Drosophila melanogaster: one gene and its partner. The protein of the gene in region 1 interacts with the protein of each later gene in a biochemical or structural test. Each region holds a gene or a part of one and is shown on either strand. Other genes may lie near its edges.

Evidence for each region. The genes of interacting proteins can lie anywhere in the genome.
Region 2: of the proteins of CtsB (region 1) and cer, one has a biochemical effect on the other in vitro, tested with the Drosophila melanogaster proteins (one study listed by BioGRID).

What each region holds. Positions count from the first base shown.
Region 1 is NC_004354.4:13,779,298-13,783,888, forward strand, and holds CtsB (cathepsin B), read right to left. Parts: upstream 2,874-4,591; 5' UTR 2,633-2,873; coding exon 2,513-2,632; intron 2,437-2,512; coding exon 2,176-2,436; intron 2,030-2,175; coding exon 1,862-2,029; intron 1,354-1,861; coding exon 880-1,353; 3' UTR 550-879; downstream 1-549. Other genes in the region: amrt (amaretto), read left to right, coding at 3,202-3,876.
Region 2 is NT_033778.4:19,395,705-19,398,767, forward strand, and holds cer (crammer), read right to left. Parts: upstream 1,069-3,063; 5' UTR 959-1,068; coding exon 920-958; exon of another isoform or gene 859-919; coding exon 658-858; 3' UTR 511-657; downstream 1-510. Other genes in the region: SdhA (succinate dehydrogenase, subunit A (flavoprotein)), read right to left, coding at 1-39.

The DNA.
Region 1 (4,591 bases):
GATGTAAGCTGTTTGTTAGAAAAATATCGAGTTTCGGTGAATAGAAGAGTGGCTACAAAACCAGTCAATCAATTCACAGAAAATCGATAAGAGAAGCGGTTGGTTCATGACAAGATAACAAAAAAAAAACTGAAAATACAAAACAAATGTTCTATTTGATGTTGCAAATGAGAAAAATAAATAAAACATGTTATGTGAATAAATATGTGTACAATTTGAATGGACATTTGGTGCTGCAAATTGTGGGCAGCTTCAACGAGATAAGTTTTACATATGTATGTACATATATGTATGTATGTATGTATGTATGGCCAAGCTAACTAATGTAATAATAAATTAACTCAACAAAATCGCACCAAATGACGAATGCGATTGCAAGCTGTACTCTTTGTTTGATTAATCAAATGCGATGCTAATCACATTTATAACTCGCAAAACATACAGCTAGCCAGTTTAACGATTGAACGATTGACGGCGTTCCATTTAAATGTGTGTACATAGTATAGAGGATCAGATACTCTCTACTATTAATCTCTACTATTAAATAAAAAAGGCATAGCTACGCTAAACAATAGTTTATAGTTGGATAGTTATAGCATTGTTTCACAAATAGTATTATTCGCTTTTAATTATATCTGAGTTCCAGTTTGATAATCATTTTCTTTTTTTTGTTTGCCTTGTTTCTAGTTAGAGAGGTCCCACTGTATACGAGCAAAGTACAGTTCCACAGTCATATACAATACTTTATTATCAATCAGGTTTAGGTTGTTTACATTAACTACAAACGTCAGTTGCGAATCGGAATGAAAATAAAAGGAGGGATGATAGAAAATAGAGGGGTTTTGATATATCAGCTTGATGCCGGAATACATATAACATTTACAGCTTGGGCAGACCCGCCGAAATGGAGCTCTCGATGCCGCAATGATCCTGGCCACGCAGGATGCGGAAGAAACCATGATCGCCCCAATCGGTGTTCCACGAGTTACCAATTAGCCAGTACGGAATCTTCTCCTCGCCCCAAACGCCCCAGCCCAAAATGCGAATGGCATGACCGCCCAGCTCCTTGCCATGCTCGTGCTGATAGACACCGTCCTTGTACAGAATGAGATCCTCATAAACGGTGAAGGCGCCCTCAACCGGTCCATTGGTCATGATCTCCTCCTGAATTTCACGCACATTACGCCTCACCGAGTACGACTTGGAGCCGAAGTGCTTGTCCTTGGCATAATCGACGGTGTAACCGCTCTGGCAGACGTGCGAACACTTGGGCGTTCTACCGCCATGGGCACATGGTGGTCGGGTTCCATTCACATGGTGCTCACAGGGAGAAATCTCGTAAGGACGGCAGCCCTGCAAAATAAGTGCATATTAGAATCGTTTTTTCTTCTGTTTGCCTTACTATATCTGGGAAATGAGTTAGTAGCAGCTAAAACTTATCGTTGAGGATGTACGCGAATCTGGAGTGCATTCACAATATATGCATGTATATCTATAGATGTTCGTATATGATATATATACATATAGCTTTGTGTATATGGATGTTTGTATATGATATACTAAGCCGCTTTCTAGCGATATCTGTGGTATACAATTTTTTATGGCGTCGTAAACTGAGTCTTCAGTTCACTTCAAGTAAACAAAGAACAAAATCAAGTTGCTTTCTAACTATTTCGGCGTAGAAATACAATATGTACAAATACAGGTTATTTTTGCACATAAAGTATGTTTTTCTTCGTTAGAAAACAAACCCTTTTTTTTATTGGAAACTCATCTGCAAGCAAAACCAAATTGCAAGCCCTTTTAAACCAAACTAAATATGATTTGCAAAATCCCATTAAAGCAGGAGAAGATCACCAACCTGATTAGATCCGTAGGGTCCTCCGCTGACGATTCCCTTGCGCGTCCAGTAGCTCCAGGCGGCGCCGGGGAAACCGCCATTGCAGCCAAATCCGCAGGTGTGGCAGCAGGAGACGAGATCATCGGCCGAAAAGTGGAAATTCACCTTGCCGCCGGAATGGATGCACACCTGCCCATTGCGAAATCAGTAAAAAAAAAAAAATCATTGATAACAAATACAAAAAGAAAATAATAATAAAAAAAAATGGGGAAATTTATCAGCTGGACAAACAAAGAATGGAAGGGGTTATAATATCGATAAGGTAAGCTACGTACGCGATCGGACATGGCTTCCACGGCACCAAAGGCCCAGCAGGAGCCGCATGAACCCTGGTCGCGAATCTCGCCAATGGTTGGGCAGTTTGGCCATTGCTTGCGGGAATCGAACTCTTCGGGAAGTTCGTCAACGCTATTCACGTATAGATCGCCAAGAACTTCACGCTTGTCGGGCAGTGCGAACTTGTGCGCATCCGGATGGACGCCCATCAGGCGGCGAATATGTCCCTCCGTTACGGATGCATCGAAATTGCGACCCACCTGGCGGATAGGAAACGGGAAAATGCAATTTTCTTGTCACGTCAGCAAGAAAAGGGTTGGAAACAAAGGAATTTACCGTCCAGGTTTTGGCCTTACTGCGCACCACCTCGATGAACTCATCCGAGAGCAGTGACGGCTCACCGGACGTGAGTGCCGCCACGGAGGCCGCGGTGGCCACCAGGAGCAATAGATTCATTATTCTTGTCCAACGAATTTCCAATGCGCTGACACAGCAAAATTCAAACAAATCACAGCAGTAAAATGGTGGAAAATGACGCGTCGTATTAAGCGGGCTCTCTGCTCCGTTCTTGTTTTCGTACTGCCCGTGAAATTCGGACGGGTAATGCTCTTTAAGCGTCTATTATTCTCTTGTTTTTGTTCTGTCGCACAAAAAAAAAAAAAAATGGTTCGCGCCCGCTGATTACGCGGCCAGTGTGTGCACACCAATGCAACAGGGCCGTTGCCTATCGAATGTAGAGATGGGCGCGTGATTGGTAACTAGTCTGAAATAAATAAACGCATTATACTAAATAGCACTTCACTAAATGTACTTAACTAAAGACTACGATCACACTAATGCCAATAAATATGCTAAGGAGCACTGTTACTTGAAAGGTGGTTTATTTGCATTTATTTATTTCCATTCGTTGTCGTGGTGCTTAAAATCAGAACTATCGGTAGGCCATCGCAGATAACAGAGCTCTGTTAGCTGTGCTAAGGTGTGGCCACACTGGCTAGCTATATTTTGATAAGGAGCTCGCAAAGATGCGGATTTTCTACGGACTACTGGCGTTCCTGGTGGCCAGACAACACGATGCCCAAGCGATACAGGCACGCAGCGACAAGGAGCAGCCGCAGACTGTGGTCTCCGGCACGGCGGTGCAATCGGTGGTGCCCGTTCAGGCGCAACTGGGCTCCGGCATGGGACCCTCCTCATCGTCATCTTCGGCATCTTCCGCCTCGGGCGGAGCTGGAAACTCGGCCTTCTATCCACTGGGACCGAATGTGATGTGCTCGTTTCTGCCGCGCGACTTTCTCGATTGCAAGGATCCCGTCGATCATCGGGAGAACGCCACGGCGCAGCAGGAAAAGAAATACGGATGCCTGAAGTTCGGTGGTTCCACGTACGAAGAGGTGGAGCACGCCATGGTCTGGTGCACCGTGTTTGCCGACATCGAGTGCTACGGTAATCGCACCTTTCTGCGCGCCGGAGTGCCCTGTGTCCGCTACACGGATCACTACTTTGTGACCACACTGATCTACAGCATGCTGCTGGGTTTCCTCGGTATGGATCGCTTCTGTCTCGGTCAAACGGGCACGGCTGTGGGCAAACTGCTTACCATGGGCGGCGTGGGCGTTTGGTGGATCATCGACGTCATCCTCCTGATCACCAACAATTTGCTGCCCGAGGACGGCAGCAATTGGAATCCCTATGTCTAGACGTGTGTGATATGCCTCTGTGTCATAGCTTTAAGTAGTTAAATAAGATTAATCTTGTTCACTGATTAATTCGTAGTGTTAGGAAATTAAATTAACTTGCCCCTTATTTCATTATAAATACCTTTGTTATAAAATCATTGAAATTAATAATTTCATACATATCTATTAGATGTAAAGTAAGGATAAATAAATATTTAGAAGTACAGTTAAATAGTTTTTATATGCCTAAGACAATCAAATGACTGCCTCTTAAACCAATTGTTTTTTTAGCTTACACCAAAACTACAGCTTTGATCCGTGCAAAAATGCCCGCATAGCATCAAAAGGGACGTTTTGACTTTGCACAATCGTTTTTATTTTTAATTTTAAAGTATATTTTGTTCAATTCGAATGTAGCGCCACAGCTGTTCCAAAATTTGTTCAGTGGATCCATTGCATTTCCGACAGCTGCTTTCCATTGGGCTATCGTTATCGTATGATGGCTATCGTCCTTCGCCATCGGGAAATGGAAATCGAAAGTTTCGCGTTCAAACTCGAAAGTCAGTTGCAAGAAAGCTCGCCAACCGCGCGGTCAACGGAGACTGGCTGAGCTGAGCGGGCGCTTTCTCTTTTATTTTTCTCCATTGACGACGCTGCGTGCGCGTCGCATCTCTCCCGCAAGAAACGGCAACAACAATAAGCACTGCGCGGTGCATAAATAAAACAAACGAAAATA
Region 2 (3,063 bases), on another chromosome or scaffold:
TTTGGCCAAAATCGATGGCACACGCATGATTCCGGACATGTTTGGCTGGGCTGTGAGGTTCTACTGCAAGATTCTGCAAGAGATTGGACCGAAAACGAGGTTTTACGCGCTTGTAAGATGGGGTGTTTGGTGTTGGTACAAAATAAAAACAAATAACTACGTGTATCGATGTGTCTATGTGATCGAAAAAGGAAAAGTTTACAAACTTTCAAATGTTGTGTGTGAACTGCCGCTCGTCGGCACTGCAGTTCGGTTCACTGACTCGCTCAATGAACGCTGAACCGGAACTAGTTCATCGCAGAAAGGCGTTAATCCGCTTTAAGTTCAAAATGTATATAGATACCGCGTACAAGCATACATATTTTTGGAATGGAATTTTACCATCTCAGCCGTACGTATTTATTTGCATATATCGTAGAGATAAATAAACCTTCGTTCATTGAACCAAAACCTAATGAACTGTTTTTCTCCCAGCCAAAGTGGCCAGAACACAAAAATCCCAAAATCTTTAAAATGTACAAAACAGCTGATTTATTGTTTATTTGGGGGTGGTTGAACGATAAAGATTTAAAAATTCAAATGCATATTTATAGAATTACAGAGAGATTAGTGTCTTTACAAAATGTCTATTTAAAATGAGATTCACTTGAGATTCTGTTAATTTGGCGGCACCTTTTTGCCACAACGCTGGGCAAATTCCTCAGGCGTGAGATCAGCCAAATGATTAATTCCCATTTTCCAAGTCACTTCGCCCTTCTCGAACTTCCGATTGTGTTCCTCAATCCGGGCTTTGGACTCGGCGTAGATTCTACGACGCATCAGATCCTCCTCTGCCTCGTAGTTCTTGTCGAACTTGGACTATGGTGGAATCAAGTGATTTCTAAATATTGCGTCGCTTGCTAGGACATATTGGGCCTACCTTGTACTCCACCCACTCCTCATCTGAAACCAGGGACATCTTGACACTTGTAATTTTGGTGACCGACTAAATTTCGTTTCAATTCTCAGGTTTTATCACGGTTTCGCACTGAGTCACAACATATAAACACAACAAAGAAACGATAATATATGCAGCTGATCAGAGATGCCACTTCGGTGAAAAACAAACATAAATAACAGTGGGCCCTCGTTTATGAAAACCGGATACTATTCAAATTCGATTTAAATCATATGCTAAATTCTCAAACATTATAAACATTTAATGCAAAACCATTGTTACATTTTTTGGAATGACTACTCAAAAAATAAATACAAATAAAAAAAACCTCTTTTCAAATACTTTTGAATTTTGTACAATTTTCAAGTTTTTATTTATTACGTGTTTACTTCTTCGTGTGTGTCGTGTTTTTTCTTGTGTATAATACGAATTTAAATATATATTTATATGCATTTTCTTACACTCTAAACAAATTTTATGAATAAACTTTCGGCTTCTCGTTTGCTTTTTTCAAAAGTTTTTTTATTATTTGCACAGAGTGAGAATATTGACATATTTCTAATGTTAATCTAAGGACAAAATTATACAGACTTTTTCGCCTTAATGACGCAAAAAAGTTGCTAGAAATAAGCTTCTGTCGTTGCGCAAATAATCAGTTTAATTATACTTTATATTTTGCCGTTTTTTTTTTTTGTTTGTTTGTTTGTCTAAGGCTCAGCAATGCAAGTATTATGTTGTAAAGAGAGTGTTTTCAATGTGGTGGTGGGTTTGGGTAGGAAAAGCAGAAACATTCGATTTATCTGGCATTAATCATCGGGGTTTTAATTTTATGTCAGTTAATTTGAAATGTAAATGCGTTTAAGTTGTGCCTTAAAGTTTTACATGCTATGGCAGTCGTATATAGTTAATTGCAGTATTCGTTATTCATCGATTTGAATATTATAAATGGAAAAGCGATTACAAATCAAGCACATCTACTTACAAAAGAAATGCTGAAATTTGATTCTTGGAGATAATTTTTGGAAAATTCCAACCATTCTCAGTGATTGTGTTGTTTCTGCTTTCCTCAGAGTAATCGCATGTTTTAATGCGGGCGTGGTGTATTTTTGGATTTTCGTTTTCTTCATAATTTATTGGTTTTTATAAATATATATATGTATATGTATGTATAAACAGTTTTACGTACATAAAAATATATAATTATTTATATAAAAAACTAATACAATTGCTGCATGTATACAATAATTATTTATTCGTTTTGTGTGCAAATTGTGGCTGCCCGGAATTTAAAAACAAAACAAAAGAACACAAAAACATAAAACGCGCTTTCACAAAACACACACATGCCTAGAATATCAAATTGTAGTTGTTGTCATCGAATTTATTGCATTTCTAAAAAAATATTGCATTTAAGTATTATGCATGTACCACGCTTGTACGTATGTGTCTAAAAACAAAAGTTTGCCTTTGTTTCAAACAAATCTTTGTTTGTCGTTAGAGTTGCCTGGGAATTTGTACCCTTTTTTATCTGTTCATTTGCTTTACCATGTCATCATGTAGTAAGGTGTGTTGCGTAGTTATTTTATAAGCTAATACATCTAGAAGATATTTGCAAGTTACTTGTTTAGGACAAAGCGGCGGTGTCGGATATTGCGTGTACACCTGCAAACCTCATTCTCGTTTATCATACAAATTGTTGTGTGAATTGCATTTATCTCTCTCTGTGTGTGTGTGTGTGTGGAGGGGAGGGTGTGTTGCCGTGGCCATCGTATAAATTAAAAATTAGAATTATATTATAATAGATATAAGCTGTGAATGCGAATTAAGGGAGGGTGAGGGGGATTTCCCCTTAGATGCATCTCGATCGATTTTAGCTGCTCATCCGTTGCTTGTTTAGGCCTCTCTCTTTTTTTTATATAATGCTTCTTTTGCTGATCTGGCTAAAGTTTCCATTTTCTCGTGGTATCATTGTCGTTATTTTTCTCGGTTCCCGCTGATGGTGGGAGGTTGGTCAAGATTGCTACTCCTACGGATCACGCTGATGGTCAGCTTAGGCCTCGGCCTTCTTCTTCTCCTTCTTCTTTTTCAAAAACGATGGTGTGCGCAGACCCTTCTTCTTCTTCTTG